Oryctolagus cuniculus: one gene and its partners. The protein of the gene in region 5 interacts with the protein of the main gene of each other region in a biochemical or structural test. Links are inferred from orthologs where the notes say so. Each region holds a gene or a part of one and is shown on either strand. Other genes may lie near its edges.

The links.
Region 1: the proteins of MAPK8 (region 5) and H2AX form a complex in vitro, tested with the Homo sapiens proteins (2 studies listed by BioGRID, with this or other methods). The link is inferred for Oryctolagus cuniculus from reciprocal best matches to the Homo sapiens genes MAPK8 and H2AX.
Region 2: the proteins of MAPK8 (region 5) and GSTP1 form a complex in vitro, tested with the Homo sapiens proteins (2 studies listed by BioGRID). The link is inferred for Oryctolagus cuniculus from reciprocal best matches to the Homo sapiens genes MAPK8 and GSTP1.
Region 3: the proteins of MAPK8 (region 5) and DUSP10 form a complex in vitro, tested with the Homo sapiens proteins (2 studies listed by BioGRID, with this or other methods). The link is inferred for Oryctolagus cuniculus from reciprocal best matches to the Homo sapiens genes MAPK8 and DUSP10.
Region 4: of the proteins of MAPK8 (region 5) and MAPT, one has a biochemical effect on the other in vitro, tested with the Homo sapiens proteins (2 studies listed by BioGRID). The link is inferred for Oryctolagus cuniculus from reciprocal best matches to the Homo sapiens genes MAPK8 and MAPT.
Region 6: the proteins of MAPK8 (region 5) and MAPK8IP3 form a complex in vitro, tested with the Homo sapiens proteins (3 studies listed by BioGRID, with this or other methods). The link is inferred for Oryctolagus cuniculus from reciprocal best matches to the Homo sapiens genes MAPK8 and MAPK8IP3.
Region 7: of the proteins of MAPK8 (region 5) and MAP3K1, one has a biochemical effect on the other in vitro, tested with the Homo sapiens proteins (3 studies listed by BioGRID, with this or other methods). The link is inferred for Oryctolagus cuniculus from reciprocal best matches to the Homo sapiens genes MAPK8 and MAP3K1.

Annotation. Positions count from the first base shown.
Region 1 is NC_091432.1:111,204,176-111,207,080, forward strand, and holds H2AX (histone H2AX), read left to right. Parts: upstream 1-1,350; 5' UTR 1,351-1,438; coding exon 1,439-1,870; 3' UTR 1,871-2,405; downstream 2,406-2,905. Other genes in the region: DPAGT1 (UDP-N-acetylglucosamine--dolichyl-phosphate N-acetylglucosaminephosphotransferase), read left to right, coding at 14-169, 253-318; HMBS (porphobilinogen deaminase), read right to left, coding at 2,899-2,905. UniProt on the Homo sapiens protein: Variant histone H2A which replaces conventional H2A in a subset of nucleosomes. Nucleosomes wrap and compact DNA into chromatin, limiting DNA accessibility to the cellular machineries which require DNA as a template.
Region 2 is NC_091432.1:4,531,876-4,535,924, reverse strand, and holds GSTP1 (glutathione S-transferase P), read left to right. Parts: upstream 1-1,249; 5' UTR 1,250-1,411; coding exon 1,412-1,412; intron 1,413-1,644; coding exon 1,645-1,680; intron 1,681-1,805; coding exon 1,806-1,912; intron 1,913-1,993; coding exon 1,994-2,081; intron 2,082-2,378; coding exon 2,379-2,482; intron 2,483-3,105; coding exon 3,106-3,213; intron 3,214-3,394; coding exon 3,395-3,583; 3' UTR 3,584-3,643; downstream 3,644-4,049. UniProt on the Homo sapiens protein: Conjugation of reduced glutathione to a wide number of exogenous and endogenous hydrophobic electrophiles. Involved in the formation of glutathione conjugates of both prostaglandin A2 (PGA2) and prostaglandin J2 (PGJ2).
Region 3 is NC_091444.1:36,078,647-36,082,826, forward strand, and holds the start of DUSP10 (dual specificity protein phosphatase 10), read right to left. Parts: upstream 2,801-4,180; 5' UTR 2,276-2,800; exon of another isoform or gene 2,171-2,275; intron 2,095-2,170; exon of another isoform or gene 1,574-2,094; intron 156-1,573; 5' UTR 113-155; coding exon 1-112. Other genes in the region: uncharacterized protein, read left to right, coding at 2,928-3,770. UniProt on the Homo sapiens protein: Protein phosphatase involved in the inactivation of MAP kinases. Has a specificity for the MAPK11/MAPK12/MAPK13/MAPK14 subfamily. It preferably dephosphorylates p38.
Region 4 is NC_091448.1:17,246,876-17,250,375, forward strand, and holds part of MAPT (microtubule-associated protein tau), read right to left. Parts: intron 2,031-3,500; coding exon 1,833-2,030; intron 936-1,832; coding exon 803-935; intron 1-802. UniProt on the Homo sapiens protein: Promotes microtubule assembly and stability, and might be involved in the establishment and maintenance of neuronal polarity.
Region 5 is NC_091446.1:81,421,328-81,424,827, reverse strand, and holds part of MAPK8 (mitogen-activated protein kinase 8), read right to left. Parts: intron 3,282-3,500; coding exon 3,210-3,281; intron 1,905-3,209; coding exon 1,722-1,904; intron 1,429-1,721; coding exon 1,304-1,428; intron 779-1,303; coding exon 715-778; intron 1-714. UniProt on the Homo sapiens protein: Serine/threonine-protein kinase involved in various processes such as cell proliferation, differentiation, migration, transformation and programmed cell death.
Region 6 is NC_091450.1:33,432,118-33,436,308, forward strand, and holds the start of MAPK8IP3 (C-Jun-amino-terminal kinase-interacting protein 3), read right to left. Parts: upstream 2,801-4,191; 5' UTR 2,624-2,800; coding exon 2,306-2,623; intron 1-2,305.
Region 7 is NC_091445.1:77,490,529-77,494,711, reverse strand, and holds the start of MAP3K1 (mitogen-activated protein kinase kinase kinase 1), read right to left. Parts: upstream 2,801-4,183; 5' UTR 2,775-2,800; coding exon 2,296-2,774; intron 1-2,295. UniProt on the Homo sapiens protein: Component of a protein kinase signal transduction cascade. Activates the ERK and JNK kinase pathways by phosphorylation of MAP2K1 and MAP2K4. May phosphorylate the MAPK8/JNK1 kinase.

The DNA of each region.
Region 1 (2,905 bases), on a different chromosome or scaffold from region 5:
CTGGTCCCCGCAGGTAGCAGAGAGGCTCCGGCTGGTGGCGGTGCGCCAGAGCGAGAGCGAGGACGGCCACTTCACCGAGTGTAACAACTTGACCCTCATCAACCTGCTGCTTAAGGTCTGCGGGCCCATCCATGAGCGGAACCTCACCTTGCTCCTGCTGCTGCTGCAGGTGAGGTCGGGCATGGGGATGGCGTTTGTACTTCCTTGTGGCTCTTTCTCGACGGACCTCACGCCAGTCCATTTCTCTTGCAGGTCGTGGGCAGCGCTCTCACCTTCTCCATCCGATACCAGCTTGTCCGGCTCTTCTATGATGTCTGAGTGCCCTGGGTGTTGGCCCTCACCTCAGAGTCTCCAGGGGTCCTGCCCTGACCCCTGTCTGGACCAAGGCTGCTTCCCCTTCCCCTGTGATCATGGACATCCGGGGCCTTTCTTGCCCTCTGGCGAAGGCCACTGAGACTTCACCTGTGGCTCCCCACCTCAGCTGGCCGCTCTCCCGCCCTCGCATCTCTGGGCTGCAGCGGATTTTGGACGGTTACCCACAACTCGACTCTCAGGGTCCTGCAGCTCAAGGGATGTGCTGGGCCTTGGGGCAGAACCTGGGCTAGGGAAGGGACACGGGCTGGAAGGGGGCTTGACTCTCGACTCTAAATGAAGTATTCTGATTAGTAAAGGCAGACGGGGCACCCGACGCTCCCGTCAGTGACAATAAAGGGTCTTTTTTCTTGTTTCTGTACGTATATTTCCTATGGGGGCATTTTAGGAAAACAGGGAAGGGCGCGGGGAGAGGACCTCCAAGCGGAGGCCTGTGCCTGTGGCTGCTCTTTCAGACCCTTCCCAGCGAGAACACAACTGAGACCTGACAGGAAAGCTCCCGGCGGCACAGGGGGCCTTAAGGTGGGAGTGGCCTGTCTTCCGACGTGGGATCGTCCCTTTTTGCACTCTCCTTCGGCCTATTCGGAGGGGGCGGGAGTAGGGCGCCCCCAGACTTAGATGGGAAAGCTGAGGTAGCAGAATCTAGTCCTTTCCTTTAAAAACCCCAGGCCAGCACGGGGTCTGGCTCCACCCCTTTCGTCTTCCGGTTCTAGTCTCCGCCTGCCACGTTTAAATCTCGCGCGCTTTGCGCGGATTGGCCGCGTCCGGAGTGGCTGCCTGTCAGCCGGCCCGCACGCTTCCTCACCTTCTTACCCGGGCAAAAGGTTTTCAAATTCGACCAATCGGCGGGCGCGCTCCCTCAGCCGAGGCGCGTCCCCGAAGGGTTAACCTCAGCCAACCGGAGGCGGGTACTAGAAAAAAGAGCCAATCAGGAGAGCGCAGGGGGTGTGCCCTAGGGGCATATAAGGGCGGCCCCGCCGCGCGCGCGCCGGCAGTTGGACTGCGGCGGTTGGCTGTTGGGGGCTTCCGTCCGGGCGTCGCTTCGTGCCGTTCTACCTCGCGCACCATGTCCGGCCGCGGCAAGACCGGCGGCAAGGCCCGCGCCAAGGCCAAGTCGCGCTCTTCGCGCGCCGGCCTGCAGTTCCCGGTGGGCCGCGTGCACCGGCTGCTGCGGAAGGGCCACTACGCCGAGCGCGTGGGCGCCGGCGCCCCGGTGTACCTGGCGGCCGTGCTCGAGTACCTGACGGCCGAGATCCTGGAGCTGGCGGGCAACGCGGCGCGCGACAACAAGAAGACGCGCATCATCCCCCGCCACCTGCAGCTGGCCATCCGCAACGACGAGGAGCTCAACAAGCTGCTGGGCGGCGTGACGATCGCCCAGGGAGGCGTCCTGCCCAACATCCAGGCCGTGCTGCTGCCCAAGAAGACCAGCGCCACCGTGGGGCCGAAGGCGCCTTCGGGCGGCAAGAAGGCCACGCAGGCCTCGCAGGAGTACTGAGGGGCCCGCGCCGCGGCCGCCCGCCCCGCGCCACCACAAAGGCCCTTTTAAGGGCCACCACCGCTCTCACGGAAAGAGCTGAGCCACGGCCGCTGCCCCTCCCCCGCGCCGCGCACCTGCACGCGCCTCGGGCCGGGCTCGTGACTCAGCCGCCCCACGCTGCGGGGCTGCGGGGCGGCCGCGGCGCCTGCGGAAGACGGCCTGCGGGGCCGAGCGGGCAGCCCTGAAGGTGAGGCCCTCGGCGGCCGCAGCCCAGGACTGGGACACCCGTCTGCGGCTTCCAGGCCTCGGCGGGAGACGCGCTGCCCCTCTCGTCGTTGGCGGCCGCACAGCCCGGCTCCGTTCGCCCCGGCGGGGCGGGGGACTGCCCGGAGGACTGCCGGGCGGCGGCGGCGCGGCCCGCGCGCTCAGACCAGCCCCGTCCGGACGGCCTCCGGTGGCTTGATTGGGACTTTGCAGCTAACTCGTCGGAGAACCAGAGACTGGGAGTTTCGGATGGACTCATTTTGTTTATTAAAGGATTTGGTTTTTTAAATGAAGCGCTTCCGTGTACTTGCCTGAGGGGGCGGGGCGGGGGTTCAGCTAACGGGAAAGGCTGTGCCGGGACCGGGTGAGGCAGGAGCCGGGGGGCTCTAAGGTGTGTGGGGGGCTCTCCGCGGTATCCGGGGACCGTGTCGGGCAGAACTACTGCGGCAGGAACGCGGTGTTCCAGAATTCGGGGGGAAGGGTCAAAGGGGTTTGTGCCTGTTTGCGTCTCCACCGACCGCACCACGAGACAACCGGAGAGCCGCCCTCAGCTGGTTTATTCCCGGGGCTGGTTACATTCAAAGGCTGTGGCTTGCATTGTGTTCTCTAGAGATGAGGCCCCCACGCAGCAGGAGGCAAGGCCCCTAGGTGAGGCGAGTCCCCGGCGGTCAGGGACCCCGCAGTTCCTCCTGGAGTGACCACTTCCCAGTGAGAACAGGGCACTCGGCCGACGTCCTCCCCGGGGAGCGGCAGCCCAGGCAGGCACCTGTGCCCACGGCCGCTTAGTGG
Region 2 (4,049 bases), on a different chromosome or scaffold from region 5:
CATGTGTCTCTGTGTATGCATGTGGTGTCTGTGTGTGCCTGTGTGTCTCTGTGTGTGCACATGTGCCTGTGTGTCTCTCTGTGTGTGCGTATGTACACACACAGGAGCACACAGATACACACAGGCACACACGCAGGTACACACAGTTATACAGGGAAACACACAGGTGCACAGATACACGCAGGCACACACACAGGTGCACACACAGGCACACACACAGGTGCACAGATACACACAGTTATACAGGCACACACAGGCACACACGCAGGTACACACAGTTATACAAACACACAGGTGCACAGATACACGCAGGCACACACACAGGTGCACAGATACACACAGTTATACAGGCACACACAGGCACACACAGGCACACACACAGGTGCACACACAGGTGCACACTTGTGCAGCAGCACATGCAGGCATAACAGCCCAGGGCCATCCTGTGCCGGCAGTGTGGACGGAGCGGGGCGGGGCCAAGCTGTAGTGAGCAGTGACCCGTAGACAAGCCTCACGGTCCAAGGGCATCGGTGGGGAACCAGCCAGCTGTGGGTGGAGCCAGGCTGCTGGAATGGGGGAGGGGAGAGGGAGACAGGACCCCCCCCCCCCCCCCCCGCTGTCTCCTGAGAGGGGCAGGTCTGGCTGTCCCTGGTGCCTGGGACACTGAGCGTGTGCACGCCTGTGACGGCATGGCGAGGGGGCTGAGCAGGTGCCCACGCGGGGCGGCGGGAGCGTGTGAGTGCCATGATGGGGTGCAGCCCCCAGTGTGCAGGGACAACAGGAAAGAGCAGCGTCCCGGTCTTTGATATTAAAATATTAAAATACACCTGCTCCTTGGCTTTATTTTCTTTGTTGTTTGTGGTTCACTAAAGCCTGAGGATCGCGGAAGGAAAAATCCAAGTTGCTTTTAGATCATTTCCAGGTCCAATGAGCCCGTCCAGCCAGACCAGACAGGACCGGGGTAAAGGGACTGGGGACTAGGGGTGAGACACGGCAGGATCAGAGACCACCTAGGCCCAGGCCCCTGGACCCGGCGCCCGGAGGGAGCTCTCCGGGGATGGCGACCCGGCCCAGACCACGGTGGGCAGAATTTCACCTGCTGGTCGCCAAGCCGTGCCTGTCCCCGCCTGCCCTACTTTGGCCCATCCAGGCCTGGGGACCCCCGCCCACACCACCGGCGCCCGGCACGGACAAAGGCGCTTCCGTTCCAATCCCGGGGTCGCGGCGCGGGCAGAGCCCACAATGACTCAGCACGGGGGGCGGAGCGGGGGCCGGCCGGGGCGGGCCGGGGCGGGCCGACCCTAATAAGGCTCGGGGCCGCTGGCCCTGCGCCCGAGCTCCGCTGCCGCCGCCCGCCTTCCACGCAGCAGCCTGCAAATCTGCCCGCGTCCACCGCGTCCACACCGCAAACAGTGAGTCCGCGCCGCTGGACTCCGAGGGGCTCTGAGAGCGGGGATGGGGCACGAGGCCGCCCGTTCCAACGCCGGGCGGGGGTCTCGGGGGCCCGGGTAGACCGTAGCCCGGGGCTGGGGGCTCCCGGGGGGCCGCGGCGCAGCGGAGGGACCCCAGGGAGCGCAGCGGCGCCCTCCGCTCCGCAGCGGACCCTGCGCGCAGCCCCTCATCCACTTCTCTGTCGCCCCCCAGTGCCGCCCTACACCATCGTCTACTTCCCAGTTCAAGGTAGGCGTCGGGACGCGGAAGAGAGGGGATGGGGGGATGGGGTGGCCGCGGGAGACCCTCTGTGCCCGGGGCCTCCCTGCCTGGGTCCCGCGCCCACCCCACCGCTCCGTCCTCCTCATCCCCAGGGCGCTGCGAGGCCATGCGCATGCTGCTGACCGACCAGGGCCAGAGCTGGAAGGAGGAGGTGGTGAACCTGGAGACCTGGTCGCAGGGCTCCCTCAAGGCCTCCTGTGTGAGTGAGGGCGCCCAGCCCGGGGCGGGGGCAGGGCCTGCAGCGGGGCATCGAGCTCACAGAGCCGCGCCCTTTCTCCAGCTGTACGGGCAGCTGCCCAAGTTGCAGGACGGAGACCTCACCCTGTACCAGTCCAATGCCATCCTGCGCCACCTGGGCCGCACCCTCGGTGAGTCCCGACCCCCCCCCCCCAGGCTGGGGGCGTGTGTGCGGCCGCCATTGGTCCTGAGCTAGCTCTGCCCGCCTTCTTCCCCAAGGGGAGGAAGTGGACAGGCACGGGGTCTGGGCCTGGCTCGAGCCCTCGCTCTCTGCCCGCCAGCTCCCATTGTCCTGGGCAGCACTTGAATGAGGGTCAGCTGCCCCTCCTCTCTGGGCTGTGCAGCCACGTGGCCGCCAGTGCGTCAGCCGGGGTGCGGGGTGGGTCAGGTGTCAGTCACACTGGCCGCTCCCCCCCACTCTGCCCCAGGGATCTATGGGAAGGACCAGCGGGAGGCCGCCCTGCTGGACATGGTGAATGACGGCGTGGAGGACCTGCGCATCAAGTACATCACCCTCATCTACACCAACTACGTGAGCCTGGGCCCCGGCAGCCTTTAGCCCTGACCCCAGCCCGCATGGGTCTCCGGCCGACCTTGCCCGCGGTCAGGGCTCACCAGCCTGCTTCGGCCGGACACACTCCCGCCCCCACTGCGTGGGGCATGAGCACAGTCCAGGGAGGGGGCCCCTTGGCCAGGGCCGAGTTGCAAGGGCGGGAGGCAGCGGGGGCAGGTGCGTCCTGGTGACTGGCGGGCACCGGTGCTCTTGCTGAGTAAGGTGTGCACACAGCAGGGGCCAGGTCAGCAGAGGGTGAGTCCATGCACACAAGCCGGGGGTGGTGGGAGACAGGCCGGGGGGGGGTGGCAGGCCCAGGTCCTGATGAAGACCTTGAACCTGACCGTGTGGAGTCCCCTGAGGGCAGTGGAATGGGGGCCACGCTCAGCAGGTCTGTGTCTGGAAGCTTCCGGGGTGGGGGGATCTGGTGAAAAATCCTAGCGGGGGTGGGGAGACAGAAGAACCAGCCTCTGATGGTGGGGAGGGGGCTGAGGGGAGGAGCAGCAGGCAGCCCTGGGTCCCCCGCCAGGGGGCAGTGCCAGGCCCTGGGGGGGTGGGCGCTGGGAGGGCAGGTGGTGCCAGCGGCTTTGTGTTTCTGGCAGGACGCGGGCAAGGACAGCTACGTGAAGGCCCTGCCCGGGCACCTCAAGCCTTTTGAGACCCTGCTGTCCCAGAACAAGGATGGCAAGTCCTTCATCGTGGGCGACCAGGTGAGCCCCCGGCCTGCCCGCCTGCCCTCCGGCCCCACTCGCTTGCCCTCCGGCCCCGCTCACTCTCTGTAGCCGGTAACAGGTGCACATCACTGCTTCAGCAAGGTGGGGCCGCCCTAGGGGGTGAGGAAGGGGCTCAGGCCCGTCCCACTGGCTGAGACCCCGTCCCCTCCCCTGGCAGATCTCCTTCGCCGACTACAACCTGCTGGACTTGTTGCTAACGCACCAGATCCTGGCCCCCGGCTGCCTGGACGCCTTCCCCCTGCTCTCGGCCTACGTGGCCCGCCTCAGTGCCCGGCCCAAGCTCAAGGCCTTCCTGGCCTCGCCCGAACACGTGAACCGCCCCATTAACGCCAACGGGAAAAAGTGAGGGTTTGTGGGACCTGCCGGAGGCCAGGCTGTCAGGACCAATAAAATTTTCTAGGGAGAAGCTGTGCGGTGCCGCGTGTTTCCTGGGGAGGGAGCTCTGGGGCCCTTGACCTTCAGTTCGGGCCAGAGGGCTAGGAAACCTGCATCCGAAACCGCACTCCTAGTGCCTGCCTGGAGCCCTCTGTCTGTGTCCACAGAACTTCAGGCACAGCAGGTGCAAGCCAAAGAAAGCAGAAAGCACCGTGGTCACCAGAGAGAAACCTTGCTCCCGGAAACAGGCTTCCAGCCGAGCAGGTGCCCGCGGCCGTGGCTCCGCCTAGCACAGCGGAGCCGAGAGGGCTCTGGGCTCAGGGGACACTGGCAGAGGCGCCGGCCCTGGGACTCTCGGGGAGAAGCGGAGTAGCTCGGGGCGGCCAGGGGTGGGCTGGGGGATAGTCACCCCTCACCCCTCCTGCAGGGTGCTCTGG
Region 3 (4,180 bases), on a different chromosome or scaffold from region 5:
CTGGAGTGGCAGAGCCAAGGTAGCTAGAGTCTAAACAAAGGTTGAGATCCTGAGGTCGGACGGGCCTAGACAGTGCCACTACTACCCTGTCGTCTAAAGGAGACGGAGGCATGAGGAGGCTGAAAACTGGCAATTCAAGAAGAACTCAAGATAGTCTGTAAAGAAGGGGGAGGGGAAAGAAAGAATAAAAACACGTGATACAAAAGGCAGTCTCATCCAATCCCTAGGAAAGGCCTTTGCATCCCTCGGAGCAGAGTAGTCCCAAGTGCCCTTTATCTTGCCGCTATCAAAGCTTGGATGTATTCATAGGAGGATGCAAATCTGAGGGCCCCCATCAGTTTTGCTGTGAAGTCTAGGGTTCGATTCAGACTTAATGTTGTAAATGTTAATGAGCAACCTGTCATGGACTGACATCAAAGTTCAGTCTCGGAGAAGGTACAAGCACCAAGAATTAGGAAAGCTGAAGACAGAAAGGAAGGTTCTTAAGAGGCATCTATTTTGAGCCTCACGCCCTGAGCAGAGGATTCTGCAACTGAGAAAGCCCTGATTGCCTACCTTCGAATGCTTCCCACTTCATCCCTTCACTCCCTGCAAAGCCAGAGGGATGACGAAGAGCATTGCCAAGGCTTACAGAAATATACAGCAGCTAAATACACATTAGGGCGGATGTCAACTTTCTGCACCTGAGAGGGAAAGGATTCCCCTAAGTGAACCTCTTTGGCCAGGAGCGAGTCTTGCTTTCCATTCTGTTGGGTCCTTTGAAACGCACAACATAGTCATATTAAAACCTCACAGGCTTTCTGGTAGCCTCATTAATTAATCTGCATCCCCCCCCCCCTTTGCACTAAACACTGGTGTCCTAAAACAAAATCTGAAGCGAAGGAGTTATCTATGGAAACCCCTCCCCCCCATCCTTCCTGCACTCCTGCCCTCTTCATCTCCCCTGCTATGCATCCTGGAGCTTTTCTCAGTGGGTAGCAGCTGCTTTGTATAGGATTTTAATCCCATACAGATATCTGCCCCTTGGAGAGTAAGGATGGGATAAAGACTTCCCTTTTAGCGTGTCCCTGTTGAAGGGAGGCAGGGAAGTGGAGACCAGGAGTCTACCCCTGATGTCTTCAGAGACCACCTGAACAGGAATGGTCCCTTCCTACCTGTGGGCTCAGGGACACCCTACAACTCGACCCCACTGACTCCTCTATCAGACATGCACACAGCAAAGAAACCAAACCCCGAGCAAGAGCCGCTCACCCAAACGAACTTCAAGAGCTGTCCGGGAAAAATGTCATCTATCATCCGTCTACACACGATCGTCACCATTCTCTGACACAGAGCCAAAGTGTTCACAGGCGGAATCCGCACACACACGCGCGCACATAGGGGCATGCACCCACCACCAGGTCCGCAGGTCCCCACTGACTCGGGTGTCGCTCTCTCACACACACTGCTCCCTTGCGTATGCGTAGTATTTTTTTTTTTTTTTTTTTGGAGGAGCGAGTACTATTCCATATTCTAAAAGCTGTAACTGTGTCCCAGCGGGACCAAGCAGCCGAAGTCTTTGCTATTGTGTTACCTGGTGGGGCACGTCCAGGATCCACAGTCTGCTTCCTCCGAGAGGGGCGCGCCAGCGCTTCCGCAGGCTCGCGCGCCGGGACCCCCGCCTCCACACGGGGTGCGCGGCCCGCACACACGCACCGGGCGTGCGGACAGATCTGCAGCCCTGCAGCAGACGGTCGGGCGTCTGTGCTGCGCGTGAAACCATCCAGTCTGGCCCAGGAAACCTCCCGGAGAAACCTCGAACTGAGCCCCCCTGCCCTGGCCAGCCGCCCTTCCGCCGCTAGGCAGGGGCTGGAAAGAAAAACTAAGTGATTAGCCCGTGCTCCTTGCCCGCTCCGAGGGCACGGAACGTGGCCCCCTCCTCGCCGCCGCACGGCGCGTGGAGAAGCCCCGGGCATTTAGTAGAACTGCCGCAAAGCATCCCAACAAACCTCGCTTTTGCTTCGCCCCCCGACTCGAGTAGGCTGCAGGGCGAGTAATCGCACCGGGCAGCGGGGCCAGGAGCCCCAAGCTCGGAAGCGTACCTGCTGGGGCTCCTCGGTCAGCATCGCGCCTCCCTCTCCCCTCTCTCACGCACACACACACACTCACACACACACGCACAGACACGCACCTCCACTCCCGGGCTCTCCAGAGTGGCCCCGGCGACTTCCACTTACTTCATCAATAAGTGTAGCCTTCCACCCCCCGGCGCTCGGTTTCAGCTAAGGACTCGCACCTTCAGCCCCCATTCACTTGGCTTCATTGATCTCCAGCAGCAACATAGTTACTTTCTCTTTTGCTACACTGTAAATGTAAGATTCTGAGGGGGCGGGCTGGCCTGCGACCGACGGCGCATTGGGCCAGTAGGAATCCGGAGAAAACCGACCGCTACCTCATAGAGGCCCGCGGCCAATGGGCGGCCGAGGGGGGCGGAGCTGTGGGCGTGGCCTCGCCTCGTCAGGGCGGGTTTATCCGACGCGGCTCCAGGTCCTCTGTGTTAGAACACGGGCGGTGATGTCATTGGCAACCAATCAAAAACTTAAAAGAGCCAGCCGGGGCCCGCGCGGAGCAGCTGCTCTCTATTTACATGTAAGCCGGCGCGGCCCGCCGCCTTAACCCTTTCCGGGGCTGAATTGTCAATGGGCGGCTCGGGCTAAACCAGGCTCTTCCCTCCTCGACCGGATCCTCCGTCCACACGCCCCTCGCCCTGAGACCCGCCGCGCGGCCTCCTCATCTCTCCTCCCTCCTTTGGACTGACGGCCCAAAGTGCCGGAGTAACTTTCTGAAGGCCGGGGACCACGGACAACCTCCGGCTCCACCTGGGAGAGCTGTGACCTGACAGACCCTCCCCGGGATTCGCCCACTTTTGCCAAGACTCCCCCCCTGGGATGCCTCGGAGCCCGCCCGCGAGCGGCGCCCCCTCCCCGCCCGCCCTGGGCCACGCACCGAGGGCCCCGACTCCGGAGCCGCCGCGGGCCGGCGGCCACTCGGCCCCTCCTCCTCCGGGCGGCCCGCAGATGTCGCTGCCCCACCGGCGGCCCCACTGGTACCCCGCGCAGCGGCAGCGCGCCTCCTTCTTGTTCTCCGGTATCCGCGACCCGGTCACGCCCCCGCCGTCGCCTGCCTGGGCCCCCGGGCTCGACCCTGAGCTCACAGGTGGCGCGGCGGAGGGCTGCTCGGAGGAGGCAGAGGCCTGGGGCCACGTCCGCTACGACCGCGGTCGGGCGCTGAGCCGCTGCACCGCTGCGGTTCCCCTGGGCCCGGCGCCCCGCGCCCCGCAGCGCACCGCCCAGGGCCCCAGAACCTCGCCCCAGTGGGCGCCCACCCCGTCTCCCCCGCGGCGCGTCGGGTCTCCGCAGCCCGCCTGCCGTGCTGGCCTCGGCCGCCGCCCCTCCACCCAGCACGGTCCCCGGCGAGCGGAGGACCGCCAGCCCGGCGCTTCTGGAACAGCGGCCGCGGGCGGCAAAGAGCCGGAGCCCAGCGTCCACAGCCTGGCTGCACGGAGCCGGAGGAGCGCCGAGGAGCCCGCGCCGCCGCTCGCCGTGCCCCCGACTTGGGCCGGCAGAAGGGTCCCCTGCCGGTGCGCAGGGGACACGAGTCGGGGCCGGGGCAAGCTGCTGGTCGCCGCCTCAGGAAAATGCCAGGAGAATTTCAGGAAAGTTGCCCTGGAAAACAAAACGGATTGGAAAAACCCAGATGAACTGTGGAGATATTACAACAAAGAATCCTGAAGAAAGAGAGCTTTTTCTCCCTCCCCTGCACCCCTGTCTCAGGGAGGAGGGGGCACAAAGCGAAATAATGACGATGCAGTAAAACAGGATGAACACTATGGAAATAGATGGCTGTGATTTTTTTTTTCTCCCCCTCTCTGTCTCTTCATTAACTGATTGGAGGTATTTAGAGAAAGGCTTCAGTCTCCAGGCCTAACAAATAGACTAAGTGGTAGGGCATATTTATATAATTGCTTGCAATGTGGGTCTGAAACCAGGAGGGGTCAAGCCATGACTAGCTGGCCAACTGTGCCCACTGAGCTGTTGGAAGAAATCCCCCTGGACACCTCTGCATAAGTGCAGGCCCATACACAGTCCAACTTCTCACACTAAAGTTTGAACAAGCATCAAGTGCCTCTGAGTGTTTTAAA
Region 4 (3,500 bases), on a different chromosome or scaffold from region 5:
ACCACCCCATGGCACACGGCGCGGCCAAGACACACAGCGGATGAAGGGCAGGCCCTGAGTGGAGATACCAGGAGCCAGGCCAGGCCCCAACCACAGCCTGCACCCAGAGCCACAGACTCCCTGGCACCACTGATGAGCAAATGCAGACCAGGCACCTGCCGCGTGGTGCAAAATCTAAACTCGGCCGCCTGGAGCAGGCCACCAGGGCCGTGGGAGAGAGGAGACGCCCAGCCAGGCTGTCCCTCACCTGCTACAAGGGGGACAGTTCCCAACAGCACCACGGACGCCAACCGGCTCGCCGGAAACTGCCCAGGTCATCAAAGCCGGCAGTGGTTTTTCCCCAGAGCCCTGGAGAGCGGGCAGAGCCGCTGGCTGCTCAGCCACGACCCTCGCCTTTCGCCCCCGGCAGTGCCGCTACCCGGGGCTGAGCCCTGGCCAAGCCGCTGCCCCATGGGTCTCACCTGGGGACTGAAATGCCTCACACCAGGGGGTGGGGGGGCAGCGCAGAGAAAAGCCCCCACCTGCCCCTAATCAGTTACAGCCGCCCCTCCCTCGAGCTGGTTAGAATCAAGCAGGCAAACGCCCGGTGCCTCCATTCGCTCCCTGATGGAAACACGTGGGGCTTCAGCACTCCCCAGCAAACTGTCCACAGGATTAAGGTGAACGTGAGCCCTCCGAGGCTGAGTAGGCTGCAAGGCGCGGAGCAGCTCCGAGGGCTGTTAAGTGCCAGGGGAACCCGGCGGCCAGGGCTGCACCTGCTGGGAGCTCCCCAGGCCAGGATCGGGGAGAACACCCTTCTCACCAGTGCCCGGCGGGGTCTTGGGGGAGGGCGTGGTTTTCGCGGGAATCCTGGTGGCGTTGGCTGCGCCTTTCTGGCCTGGAGGGGCAGCTCCCCGGGGTGTGGCGATCTTCGTTCCAGTTTTCCCATCAGCCCCCTGTAAACCGAATCAGGGTAGAGTGGTTTTTACCGTGCCAAGGAGGACTGCCACCTAGCGCCAATGCCAGCCCCGTTCCGCCACCAGGACTCTGAGGAGGCCACGACCGGGACATCCCTTTGCCTACCAGATGCCACAAGGGCCTTCTGTCACACAAGCCCACAGCACCACCCACCTGCCCGCATCTCCACTTCCTCCCAGAGGAGCCCTCAGCGTGGTGATCAGCAGGAGTCCTGCCAACGATTCCCGTGGGAGCCATTGGTGTGGCCCCTTGGGCAGGCACGGGCACACCGGGCCGCGGTGGCCCCATTGCTGCCTCTCATTATGGGTTTATTTGGTGCTGGCTGCTTCCTCAGAGGCCCTTGGAGACACTGTTTGTGGAGCCCGACCCAAGAATGCTGCAGAGCGAAGCCACTCTTCCGTTCTCTCCCAAGCGACACCGAGACGTCAGGTGTGCTCGGGGCCCGGGGTGACGAGCAAGACCTGGCACAGGTGGGGGGCAGCTGTGGGTTTGGTTCCTCAGAGGCGCCCGTGAGACACACACAGCACAGACTCCAGTGAGAAACTGACACTAGCCAGGGAGCAGGAGCTGGTTCGGGAGGGACAGGTGTGGCCGCCAAGGGTGAACCAGAGGCACTTCCGGTTACCAAAGTCAGGAGGAGCCCAATTAGAGGGGCGGTTGCCAAGCCAGGGTCCCAGCAGGTGTCTTGGGGGCTGCTGCTGCGAGGGGCCCGGGCAGCGGAGAGGCATGGCCTCGAGCCCCCTGCCCCTGGCCCGAGTCCCGGCGAGTCTGCACGTGCGGCTGTGCCACCGCTCCTCGGGGGGAGGGAGGAGGTCTCAGCGCCTGGAGGACTGAGCACTCGGGCAGCCTGCTCTTTCCAGAGGTCGAGTCCTTACCTTGAGCTTCATCTCCTTTGTTCCAGAACTGCCATTTCGGGGTGTGACAGAAGAGACGTGTTTAGGAGAGGAAGCTGGCTCTGGGCACACGGCAGGGCTGGAGGGTTTGATCAAAGGGTCTGAGCTACCAGGAGAGGGGCGTTTGGGGCTAGGGCAGGGCCTAGTTCTCTGGGTGTTAGCAGAGGAAGGTGTGGATGGCTTAAACACAAACATAAATAAAATCAAAACAAAAGTCAGCACATGGCGAGGGAAACAAACTCAAAGATGGACAGCAACTAAAAATAAATAAGGCAGGTCCCTGCTTAACGCGGTCATCCCCCAACGGTTCACATCCGGGTCCCTCAGCAGCCCCTCTGATGGGCAGGAACAGGAAATGTGAGCCCTCCTCATCCGACAGCCACGGCCACGTGCACGTGATGTTCCTCACTCCCACGCGGCGGCGCTTGCAACAGCAAGCGTGCAAGATGGACAGAGGTCTGGGTGCCCTTTCTCCACCCTGGGGTCTTCCTGAGCCCCTCCAACTTAGGACAGCCCCGGCTCAGAGGTGCTTCTCAGGCGCTAACGCAGTGGACGTGGCCAAGGCACGTTTCCCAGGGGAGCATTCCCACACTGCCACGGGCCAGATGCGCCACCCAGAGGGGCGCTCACGTTTGCCCACTGGCCCTGGGCCTCTTCCCACACTGGCGGAACCCTGTGCCTGCCCTGAGTCCTGACGATGCCGGCGGCAGCGCTGAGGCTGGGTGTGTGCTTGCACACGTACGCACATCCCGGCAGAAGTCTCCGGCAGATCGGATCTTAACGCCGCCTGGGGCATCCTAGTTGGGCTGAAGCGGACTCTGGCACTTGGACCTAAGGTTTTAGCCTGGCTGGGGTGGGTGCCCCATGGGACTGGGGGCCACGTGGCTGGAGGCGCTCCGAGAGGGAGCGACGACACCTAAAGGATGGCCGTGACTCCACGGTTTGTCCTGACTGCCTCTGTGGGAGTCTGACCAGGAAGCGTGGCCCCGGGAGAGGAAGGGGAGAGGGAATTTTACTCTGCATCACCAGGAATCAAAGAGGCTACGTCCAGAGGGTCCCACGGAAGGAGTCAGCTGCAAAGCAGGGGCACGGGGCTTCCCGGTGAGGCCTCGGGGCACGCGCCAAGGCGGAAAAGCTGGCCCGGGCACTGGCAACCCTCCTTCCCCAGCTGCACAAGGCCCCTCCCCACACCTGGCCACGGTCTGCTTGCTAGTCTGTGAGGCAACTCCAGGGCAGAGAGGCTGGGCCTGGGTGTGTGCCGACTGAGCGGATGAATACATGCACGCATGAATGAGTGGGTGCCTGCATGAGGCTGGCGTCCCCCCCACCCCCACAGGGGGGCCCTCAGCACCTCCCTCCCGGGCCAGCCCTGACTGCGGGCCTGATGAAAGGCCGCATGTTCCAGGCAGGACTCCTGCTGCAATCATTAGCTTCCTTTAAGGGAAACAGGCTTTCCCTAGGGCCACGGTGGGACTTGCAGAAAAACACCACTGTGCGGTTACGGGAGCCTCTTCCAAGTCACATCATCATGGAGCAAGGGACCACGGGGAAGGGAGAGGTGGAAGGGGCCGGGCCACCAGGCTGCTTCACCGGCCGCTGCCGGCTGCACACCGCAGATGGACGAGGGCCGTGGGGCCTGCGCCTCTCCGC
Region 5 (3,500 bases):
CAACAGAAAAGATTACTATACTATTAATTTCTTAATCTGTTAGCATTCTGTTGAAAAGGGAGGGGGAACCACTGACTGACACTTAGCTATATGATACAACTAAAATTTTTGTGGGGATTAGTTAGAAATAACTGAAAAATATCCTTTGACACAGCACATTTCCTGGAATGTTTCTTAAAGGCCTATTCTCGCATGTGCACAGGAATACTGTAGAGTTGTCTATCAATGTAATAGACTAGACTCAATGAAAATGCTCTTCAAGAGGCAGCTGGATATAGAAATTGTGATACATCACAGAGCAGAACCAAATGGGGCAGTCACATGAACCGAGAAACACCTTCAAGATGTATGATTATTGCAACAAGGCAAGTGTGCATAGTACACATAGTGTAGAACAATCTGTGACTTACAAACGGTAGGAGAAGGGAGAGGGCATACACCAAATACAGCTGCATTTTTACAGACTAAGGAAAAATTCAAGAGAAACACTAATGTGTATTTGTGTTTGGGTAGAGAACTTGGAAAATTAAAATTTGGTCAGTGAGAGAAAGGGACATACTTTCCACTGTTGTAAAAACATTAGGTATCATATTATCAATAAATACCAGTTATGAATAATGGAAAAATATCATTAATTTCCCTAACATGATGAACAAATCACATTTCAAAGAGGCAGAAGCTCTTTCAATTTTCTAAGAATCTGATAAATGTTACCTTTCCATTCTTCTATCGTGTGTTCCCTTTCGTCTAACTGTTTGTCAGGAATCTTTGGTGGTGGCTGGAAAACACAAAGCAACAATAATGGAGACAGTTTATTGGGAGTATTATCAATCAGACAGGAGACTTGTAAAAATGCACCATTAGACCAAGACTGATCAATCGTCAACAACCTTCTTATATATATAGACAGACCAGTTTTGGAAGATTCCTTCACTGCAGAAAGAATGATGCTTATCTTTTGCTCCAGCTTTTGACTTTGTTGCACATTTATATCACAGAACTTTGCAAGGCTTTGGATAAGATAATTTTTTTCTAAGGTAAGACGTTTCCCAGAGCATTCAATATCCTAGCCTCTCTGTCCCTCTGATCAGGTATCAAGGCAAGAAATACTAGGGGGTGACTTGATTTTGTATAGGTGTGGCTTGGACATGACCTTAGCTTAAGGCGCTCTTCATGTAAAAATAGAAAACACCATTATAACATTCCTATTTTTTTACTTAAAAGTACAAGGTCTCCTGCAAATGTAACTTAATGCCAACTCTAAAAATGCAGCATATTCTTCAAACATTAAGAAAGAACTTACGGCTTCTGCTTCAGAGGGATCGTACCAGACATTGATGTATGGGTGCTGGAGAGCTTCGTCTACAGAGATCCTCTTAGATGCATCTATCACCAGCATTTTAGAGAGCAAATCCCTTGCCTGACTGGCTGTAAACATAATGATGTTACCATGCTTGTACTCAGAAAGGTTCTCAATTTATCAATAAATTTTCAGAAACCTGATATTATCTTTTATTTTAAAAGCCTATGTTTTAAAAACAATAAATTTTACTATAGCATCAGGTCATACATAGGATTAGAAATATAAAATTAAAGATAAAAATAACTAAAACCTCACTTCATCCCACCATCCACAGATAACCTTGGGTTTATGTCCCATAAGAATATGAATACGCACACACCCCACACATGAAATGGGACGACATGTTTGTAAAAAGTACCTTTAAGCTTGTTGTGTTCCGAGTCAGCTGGGAAAAGCACATCGGGGAAGAGCCTCTCAAAGCTATATCCGGCATACTTAGGTCTGTTTTCCACGTAAGTCCTTACTGTTGGTTGTAGTTTCTTCATGAACTCAGGACATGGTGTTCCCAGCTGTTCAATAACTTTATTCCACTGATCAATATCTAATATCAAGTAGCTAAGAAAAATACTCTGTATCTAATGTTCGACACATTAGTTATATCCACATTAAAATACAAGAAAATGGAAATTTCTAAAATCCCAAGAAAGAATGTGGCGGTTATAAATTTTGTATCTCACAGCCACCTTGCAAAAGGCACTGACGGTAGGTGACAGAAACGATCAGTGAATGAGCTCTGCCGACCCTGTTGACTGTGTGTGTGTCTGTGTGTGTACAGACTGATTTCACCATAAAAGCAGAAGCTGAACCTGACCACACTGTAAACATTAATTATAAGTAACTCAAACAAAAAACTCATGGTTATTACTATCCACTGGGATTCTAAATGTAAACTATACATAATTTTAACATACAAAATTGCCATTTTCTTCTAAATTATCAGAAAATTTGAATGCATTTCCTAGAGAATAAGAAATATTTCTACAATCTGTTTTGCCTTTGAGTTTTCCACACCAAGAGAGAATAATCAGTAGCAAGAAAAATTGTGGCTTTGATAAAAGCGGCATTTTCCTTTGCCATTCTTTATTTATCCGATGTTAATTTTCTGTAAAGTTCTGAAACTTATGAAACAGATCCGCAACTTCAATAAATTTTAAGGTTAGGATTCCCTGTTTTCCTTTTTCCTAGCTTTTACAGAATTCCAAGACCCTGAAGTCCTCATTCTAAAACTCAAAGTGACCTTTCTCATTCTTCCTCCCTAAAGAATTCTAAGCATTACCAGTTAACAAAAACTTAAGAGATCAGTGTTAATATGAATATGGAAAGCAGTCAGATGAACAAAAAGCATGAACCAAAATTTAACCACCACCACATAAAACTACTGCTGCTGAAATTCTCAGATGAAAGAATCAGTATGTTGAGTGATGAGACAACAATCAAAAAACACAAATACACACAGTAACAAAAAGTGTGGGGGGGAACAGACAAAACAGAAGGATGGCCAGATGCAACAGATAATTCCAAAATTCATATTAAGTTGTAGGTGTTTTTAGACTTACTCAAGTGTATTATTAGAAATTTTTAATGCAAGCCATGACTTTTGATTTAGTTCAATAAATCAACTCAAAGCCAGCCAGTAATTATGGGTGATTACACTTGAGCAGGTTTCAGTATTAACTTATGAAACAATCAATGAGGGAAAGGAGAAGTCTATGCCAATAGCAGGTGGTATTTTGAAAGAATAATTTAACAATGCTTATATTAGGGAGAGACAGATGCATTATACCTGACCCAGCTGTCATACATTTTGACCTTTAGAAACTACACTTTAGGCCAAAGATAAGGATACGATCTGTACCTGGGAACAAAACACCACCTTTGATCATTTCTCCCATGATGCACCCAACTGACCAAATGTCAACTGAAAACAAAATGCAATGACATTAACATAAAGATTTTGGTTAAAATAAAAAAAAATAAACATTAAAAAAAAGTCACGCACACCATGTATACTTTCAAATTATAAAAAGCAGTATAAAATAAAAATGAGTGACAGTGAATGTGCTCTGACTACCAGCAGAGACTGTATGTCCTGCTGCCAGATGCAGCCTATGAATATTTCAGTTTCTTATCAACAATT
Region 6 (4,191 bases), on a different chromosome or scaffold from region 5:
GTGCCACTCCCGGGAAAGGGCTCTGGGCTCCTGGCCGGCCGCCGGGTGATGCAGCAAAGCAGGCCCGCTCACCGGCCCGAGCTCCCCCTCCTCCAAGGGAAGGAGCTTGAGGCACTCACACTGGGCCACAGGACCTGCTCTGCCCCGCGGGGGCTGGCGATGCCCGGGCTCGCCGTGAGCCCCCAGGGGCTCTGCCCTGACTGCCACACCGTCTCAGCACAGTCCTCCACGTGCCACATCCGGAACCCACCCGCTTCCCCAAGCAGCCGCGGCGGCCCAGAGAGGAGACGAGGCTGGGTGCAGGGGCCTCTCCCGGGACCCCACCATCTCCAGCCACTGTCACCCCAGGGCTCCAGCCGCCAGGACGCGCCCAGAACCTCCCAGGGTGCTGGCTGTGAGGCAGGGGACGGCTGCTCTCTTGGGTCAAGGCCTTCGGGAGACCCCTGCCGCTCTGTCGGCTCAGGTTCCCGACTCTGACTAAGCCTTCTTGGCCGGCGGCTGGGCCGGGCCTCGGCCGACAGCTCAGCCAACTCTGCACCACACCACGCCTGCACCGGTGACCTCCAGCCCTTGTGTTATCACACACCTCCGTGATCAGAGGCCTTTCCCGCAGACCCCTGCTTGCGGTGACAAGGGAGCCGGGATGCTGCGTGTACGGCATCAGCCCCGTCCTCACCAGGGCCTCCTGGTGCCATCACGGCTGGCCGGCCACCCACCCTTTCCCACAGCCCTCCGCAGCTTCTCCAACAGCTGGGGCAGCGGCGGGTGAGCCGGCCTGCACACCACACGCACACCCAGCGGCTCTCAGTCCCCAGAGCACTGGCGGGAGGGTGGACGCGTCCATCCTGGCGGCTCCATCCCAGCCCGGAGCTGCCCTCTGACCCCCTGCAGCGCGGGAAGGTGCGTCCTGGCCTGGTGCCCAGGGCTGTGCATGTGACCTTGGGCAGCCCCCCACTTCTTGGGGCCAGCTGCTCCCCTGCGAAGCACCCCAGATCTCCGTAAGCTCTCACACTCCAGCTCTGGCAACCCTGACGTGGAGAACGTCACACCAGCTTTGGTGGCGGCAACCAGACGGGAACCCGGGAAGCAAAGCCAACCAGAGCCGGCAGGGATGACGCCAGACAGGACACCGGCGCCTTTCACAAACACGCGTGACGCGAACCAGGCCATAAACCGCTGCGGCTTAGAGAAAAAGAAAAAAAAAGCCAAGACACTGGCACCGCCTCACGGCTGAGCACCGAAGCCAAGAACGCTAGGCCCAGTTAACCAGGAAGGAACCCGAACTCCTCTGCCCCCCCCCCCCCATCCACAAGCCCAAGAGAACCGCGGGACCTCCTCCCCGCAGTCTCTGGGCTCAGACCCACCCGGACAACTCGCTCCTCCGCCCGACGGGCAGGTGACCAGGGCCAAGGTCACGGGGAGGGAGCCCACGGCCCCCGCACCCCCTGCGCTGGGTCCGGCCGCCGCCGCGCTCGGCATCCCTGGCGCCCCCGGACCAGCGACTCCCGGTTAGGGACGCATCCAACGCCGCCGCCCCCCTCCCCCTCCCCCGTCCCCACAGGCTGCTCTGGGTCCTCGGGGGCCGGAGCCGGCGACCCCGGCCCCGCACCCCCTTCGCTCGGCCCTGGGACGGCCGCCGCCGACCCCGGCCCCGCACCCGTCGCGCTCGGCATCCCTGGCGAGGGGGTCAGGCTAAGCGATGCTCCCCGCGGCCCCGGACCGGCGACTCCCGGGCTAGGGCCGCCCCGGCCCCGGCCGCGCGCCCTCGCCCCGGCCCCGGCCCCGGCCCCGCGCCCCCGCCCCCGCCCCCGCCCCGGCCCCGGCCCCGGCCCCGGCCCCCGCCCCGGCCCAGCCGCGCGCACCTCCTCGCCCCCGGCCCCGGCCCCGGCCCCCGCCCCGGCCCGGCCGCGCGCACCTCCCCGCCCCGGCCCCGGCCCGGCCCGGCCGCGCGCACCTCCCCGCCCCGGCCCCGGCCCGGCCCGGCCGCGCGCACCTCCCCGGCCCCGGCCCCGGCCCCGGCCGCGCGCACCTCCCCGGCCCCGGCCCCGGCCCCGGCCCGGCCGCGCGCACCTCCCCGCCCCGGCCCCGGCCCGGCCCGGCCGCGCGCACCTCCCCGGCCCCGGCCCCGGCCCCGGCCGCGCGCACCTCCCCGGCCCCGGCCCCGGCCCCGGCCCGGCCGCGCGCACCTCCCCGGCCCCGGCCCGGCCCCGGCCCGGCCGCGCGCACCTCCCCGCCCCGGCCCCGGCCCCGGCCCGGCCGCGCGCACCTCCCCGCCCCGGCCCCGGCCCGGCCCGGCCGCGCGCACCTCCTCGGCCTGCTTGCGCAGCGCCTTCTCGCGCTCGTACTGCGTGAGCAGCTGCTCGTTGTCCTCGCGCAGCAGCTCCAGCTCCACCTCGTGCTCCTGGTTCTCGCTGAGCACCGAGTCCAGGTTCTCCAGCACGTTCACCACCAGCGGCATCAGCTCCTTGACCACCTCCTCGTCGTAGCAGTGGATGAGGCGCTCGAACTCGCGGTAGATGGAGCCCGCCAGGCCCGACACGCGCTCCGACATCACCGAGCCCGAGCAGTAGTCGTCCTGGTAGACCACCACGCCGCCGCCCTCGTCCATCGGGATCTCCATCATCGCGGCCACCGCCGCCGCCAGCGCGGCCCGCTGTCCGGCCGGCGCGCCCGGCCCGCCCTGGCTGCCCGGGGGTGCGCAGGCCGCGGCGTCGCCTCGGGCGCCGCCGCCGCTGAGGGGGAGGCTGAGGCGACTCTGCTGCCGCTGCCGCTGCCGCCGCTGCCGCCGCTGCCGCTGCCGCGCCCGTCACTCAGCCGCCGGAAGTCCCGCCCCCGCCGCGCCGCCGGGGGTCGCAGCGCCGTGACGTCAGCGGAAGCGGGCTCCGCGCCGGAAGCGCACCGGAGCCGGAAGGGCGGTTTGCGGCCGCGCCGGGCGGTGCGCGCGGACGGCGGCTTCCAGGCCGTAGCGGGTCGGGGGCTCCCGGGTGACCGCGCCCTCCGCTCGCCCGGGAAGCGGCCTGCGGCCCGCACCCCGGGCCGACCCCGGCGCGGCTCTTGTCGGCCGTGGGCACGTGTCGAGGCCACCTAGTGGGTTTCCAAGTATCCGCTTTTTGTTTCTCTGATCTCGTTCAAAACTGTCGGAAACGGGGTCGAGACGCGTCTGTTAAAAGCAGGGACTCCGTGCCCGGGAGGGGCGGGCGTCGAGGCGCGTCCAGCCCAGCCCGCGGGGTCGCGGGGGTCGCGGAGCCAGCCCCTGCCGGTGCGCCCGGGACCCGGCTGGGGCTCCTGGCTTCGGCCGGCCGCTGGGGGATGAACCAGCTGATGGGAGATCTTTGTCTGAAAGTGCCTTTTATGCAAGAAGTTTTTTCATCAACCATTTTTAAAAATTTTTTCAAAAGATTATTTGAAAGACTTGGAGACCGAGAGGGAGGCCTTCCAGCCCCCGTTCCCTGCCCCCAGGGCTGGGCTAGGCTGAAGGCTTTATCCGTCGCCCCGTCCTCTGTGCTTTCCCAGGCACGGGCTGGAGGTGGAGCCGCCAGGACAGGGACGCTGGCGCGGCCGGCGGTGGCGTCCTGAGCCCTGCCTTGATAGGTGCGCATCTCTTAGGTTTTCAGTTCTCTCCTTTTTTAATCTAAATCTGGTACCTGCAGCCTTCGGGGCGCGGCCCGCAGTCAGCCCCTGGAGGCCTGTGTGTGACCACACACCCAGACGTTGTGAACCCAGGACTTCACTTACATTAGGGACGGCTTAGAGTCGGCCCCGAGCCTCTCATCCTGACCTGCACCACGGCCGCCCTGGAGCCGATCCCTCCCCGTCACCCAGCGGGCTGCGCGCCCCGGGCTGAAGTCCCGCGTCAGGCGGCCTGGGCTCTGCGCGCCCCGGGCTGAAGTCCCGCGTCAGGCGGCCTGGGCTCTGCGCGCCCCGCGTCAGGCGGCCTGGGCTCTGCGCGCCCCGGGTTGAAGTCCCGCGTCTGGCGGCCTGGGCTCTGCGCGCCCCGGGCTGAAGTCCCGCGTCTGGCGGCCTGGGCTCTGCGCGCCCCGGGCTGAAGTCCCGCGTCAGGCGGCCTGGGCTCTGCGCGCCCCGGGCTGAAGTCCCGCGTCAGGCGGCCTGGGCTCTGCGCGCCCCGGGTTGAAGTCCCGCGTTCAGGCGGCCTGGGCTCTGCGCGCCCCGGGCTGAAGTCCCGCGTCAGGC
Region 7 (4,183 bases), on a different chromosome or scaffold from region 5:
TTTTGAGACAGAAGGGATTTCCAGACCTTTATTATTGAAACACAAAAATACTTCAAAATCTCAGTGTTAGAGTTTTGAATTGAAAGTATGAATGTAATTCCTGTCTAAAAAGCAAAAATGTAAAGTTCAATGGAGATTTTAATTGAATTTTTATCATCAAAATTTTTTCTAAGACTACACATGGTATAAATAAAATCATGCAATATAAATAAGTAAAAGAATTTAATGCCAAGTAATTTCTCCATAATCAGTTTTATACCAATAAATTCAAATAAATTCAATCCTCATGTCAAGGAAATGGGGGGAACACTATATTTCAAAAGTATAAGAAATCAACATTTTATTAGAATGAAATCTTTACATAACATGTAATCTTTACATATAACCAACGGCTTTCTGGCTAATAAAAGTAAACAAAAGATCATATTTGTCTGTTATTTTACATACTGTGCCATAACACACCTCTTAGACAAAGGGAGGAGCCTTCATAACTACACTGTAAAACCAAAAATTAAGCATGGACGACTCAGTTCCTCAATTCTGTCTGCTTCCACCCCAGTCTTCTCGGTCTGTGTCAAGGGATGACACTAAACAAGTTTTGTATTTACACTGGTTGCTCTTATACTACATTTACAGCTCATGAAAGTGAATAGAGGGCTGATGTTTGCCAGATTATTTATCCGAAAACCTAGGTCTCATGAAATTAGGTAAAATTAATCTCTCAAACTGGGGATTAAAAAGTTCACTTGCAGTAACAACTGCCTTCAAAGAGTGATACTAGTTAAGTTTGAATCTAATCCACATAGAAACAGGAAAGTACAGGGGAATGTTTTTAATGCCAATTTACACGTACAAGTGCACACGGAAAAATACCAGTCCCAGACCTCCCCTCCGTCTCAACACTGCCATGGTATGGCGCTGAGCATAGTTTTAAGGTTTCTTTGGGGGGGGGCACATCCACATAATAAACTGATTTTAAAGAACTGACCAAAGGCACAAAAAGTGCCACTGGCTTTAGATATCTAAGCAAAACCACAGATTCCCACTGTCAAACTCCTCACAATAAAACACACTTCATTCCCATCACCAAGTTCCAGAATTCCAAAGGGCGACGAGCGACTGTCACAAAAACATTTCCTGCAAGACTTCGCGCTCTGCACACACTAGTCAGATTCCTGTGACCACGATCAAGGATTACGGCTGTCACACTCACAATCATCTTACACACACACACTTTGCAGGAGCCAAAGCAGGGCGAGGCCAAAGCACAGCGGGTCCCAATGACCTTCCAGACACGCAGCGGAGGGCTTCCCCGAGCCGCAGCCCGCAACACCGGCGCCCCAGAACTGCGGGCAGCCCCGCAGCCGCGCGGAGCAGGAAGCACCGCGCCCGCGCCGCGGCCCCGGGGCCACGCCGGAGGGACTGGGGAGCCGTCACCGCCGCTTTCAAACTGAATGGCTGACACATCCGGTCCTGGCTCCGGCACCACTCCGCCGAACGCAAACTTCAAAGGCCACATTCAAACTCCGAGCAGGGATCCCTCGCGTCTTCGCGGTGCAACTTTGCATTCCCGAAGAGCACCCACAGACCCCTGGGGGACGAGGTTCGAAAACCCGCACGTCCTGCAAGGCTGCAAGCGCCCACGAGCCTGCAGTCCGTGGAGCAGCGCTTTGACAGGGGTTACCGGGCCGTGCACCGCGCCCGGGACCGGCTCCCAGTACCTGCCCTGAGACTCCAGGCCCCCGGCGGGCCGCGGGGCGCTGCCTGTCACGTCCCCGGGGACCTGCCGCTTTCTCCTCGGCCCTGCCTCTCTGCCCCCACCAGCCCCGACCTTGGGCTCCCCACCCACCCTGCAGCACGATGGGGCCTCGCCCCCCAAGCCCCCCGCCCCGGGGACACCGTTTTGGGGCGCCGCGGCCGGCCTTCTCCCCGCCCCCTCGGCTTGGCCTCGGGACGCCGCGCCCTGGCTCCTCGGAGAGCCCCGACCTCGGCAGCCCCACAAAGCCAGCCGGGGGGCCCCCCACACCTTTTCGCCACGGGTCCCCGCAGCGCGGCTCGCACGCCTGTCACATGTCTGCAAACAATAACAAACTCCCGCACGCCCCCGTCCCGTGCCCCAGCCGGGGTTCTGGGGCGCCGCCCGCCTCCAGAGGGGGTCGGGGGAGTTTGGGGGCGCAGGTCCCGGCGAGCAGCGCGCGGTCCCGCTGCGCCGAGCCCCAGGACGCCGTGCGCGCCGCCCGGGGTTCATTCATTGCCCGTCCGCCCGCCCCCCCAAGTCCCCGCCGCGCTGCTCACCCAGCGGGGGCCACTGCAGGAGGCTGCTCTGCGGCGGGCGCCCGCTTCTCCCCGGGCTCGGCCCCCGCGGGGCTCGGGGCGCCTGTGTCCGGCGCGGCCGCCGGCTCGGCAGGGTGGGCGCCGCCGCCTGCCGCTCCGTGAGGCGGCGGCACCGCCACCGGCTGGAAGCCGCTCGCACCCGCCGCTGCGTCCGAGGGCTCCGGAGACGGAGACGTGGAAGAGGACGGCGGCGAGGCGCCGAAGAAGAGCGGCGGCTCGGGCAGCTGGTCCAGCTCCACACTCCGCACTTTGCGCAGCTGCCGCCGCCGCCAGTCCGCCCGCTCGCGGCCCGCGCTGCCCGTCTCCCGCAGCAGCCCCGCGGCTGCCACGGGCGCGCTGCCCGCCTTGAGGGCCCCTCCGCCGCCGCCCGCCTCGGGGCTCGCCGCCCTGGCGCCCGGGAATCCCGACGACGAGGCGCGATTCCCCGCCGCCGCCGCCATTTTCTCTCGCGGGCTACATTCGCTCGGCCCCTGCGAGGGAGGGAGGGGGCGGGGAGAGCGCAGGGGGCGGGCGGACGGACGGGCGGGCGCTGCGCCGCCGGCGTAGGGCCGCTGCGCCAACTGCGTGAGCGCCGCCCGCCGGGCGCCCGGCCTGGGTGACGGGCGTGCGGACTGGCCCGCGACGGTGGCGGAGGCGGCGGCCGCAGGTGGGAAGGAGCGGGCGTTGCGCTCGGCCCCGCGCGGGCGGGCTGCGTGGGCTCGGCGGTGTCGGCTGCGGGGGCGCTCTGGGCTGTGCGCGTTGCCCCCGCGGCGCTGCCAGGTAGTGCGGGCCGCACCGGCGACAGGAGGAGCCTCGCGCCGCGGTCTCGCCCCGGCTTGCCCGGAGCTCGCTACAGAAATCAATGCACTGGAACTCGGGGGTGCGGTCCGTCAGCCGCACGGCCCCTGGCTGTGAGCGTCGGGGAACTCGGGCGCAGACCGGCCTCCCCCTACCCCCAGACCCTGCCGCGGCTCCGCTCCGGAGGTGGCGCAGGTGGTGCCCGGGGCTGTCGCACGCTGCAAAGCGAAAGCAAACCCGGGGTGCTGCGGCCCGAAAAGCTCAAGTTGTGTTTCGGCTTAAAGACAAGAGTGCCTCCCCTCAGGTCCCCTGCCCCACCGCGCCGTTCCCAGGGACGAACACGAGAGCTGCCCGTAACACCTTGTCCACCTCCTGACACCGCCGGGCGCGAGGGAGACCCCGAGCGGCGGGGGTCCCTGCCGCTGTCTCGCTCGGCCTCGAGCCGCTCCGAGCGCGTCTGGGGGCAGGAACCAGCGCCGTGCCAGGAAGTGCGCGCTCCTGTCACCCGCGGCCGGCGCCCGGCCCTCGGCGGCTGCGACGCCGCTCGCCGCACGTCTCTCTCGCCGGCGGGACCGGGCGGCCGCCGGGGTCCCCTCCGCCCCGCGGGCCCTGGGAGCCTCCGCGGAGAAGCTCACCTTTGCGTGTTAGCGGTTTTAGACGCCTACCCCCCCACACCCCTATTTTTTTTTTCCCCCGACAGAGCTCTGCGTCGCGTTTCTGTCCCCTCTCGTCTGCGCTGGGCAATCTCCCAGGAGCAGCGTCTCTAGATTTATTGTGCGGAGTAGTTAATGGAAGCATCGGAGAGGGAGCTGCCCTCGCGTAGAGACGAGGGAGCCTTCGTGCTGGTCTTCGTATACAGCTATACCTGAACCGTCTGCTAGATAATTCCTTTGACTTCCCAGGTGTAATGTTAAGTGGGGGACAAGGTGATGCCACGTGGACTTTAGAAAGGGTCCTGGTTTCCTAGTAGCGCAGTGCTTCTGCTGCTGCTGTCCCGCCCGCCCGTCACAGGATAGCTTGAGATTGCTACATCCAATGGTACACATTTTGAAACTTTAGGTAAATCTGTTAG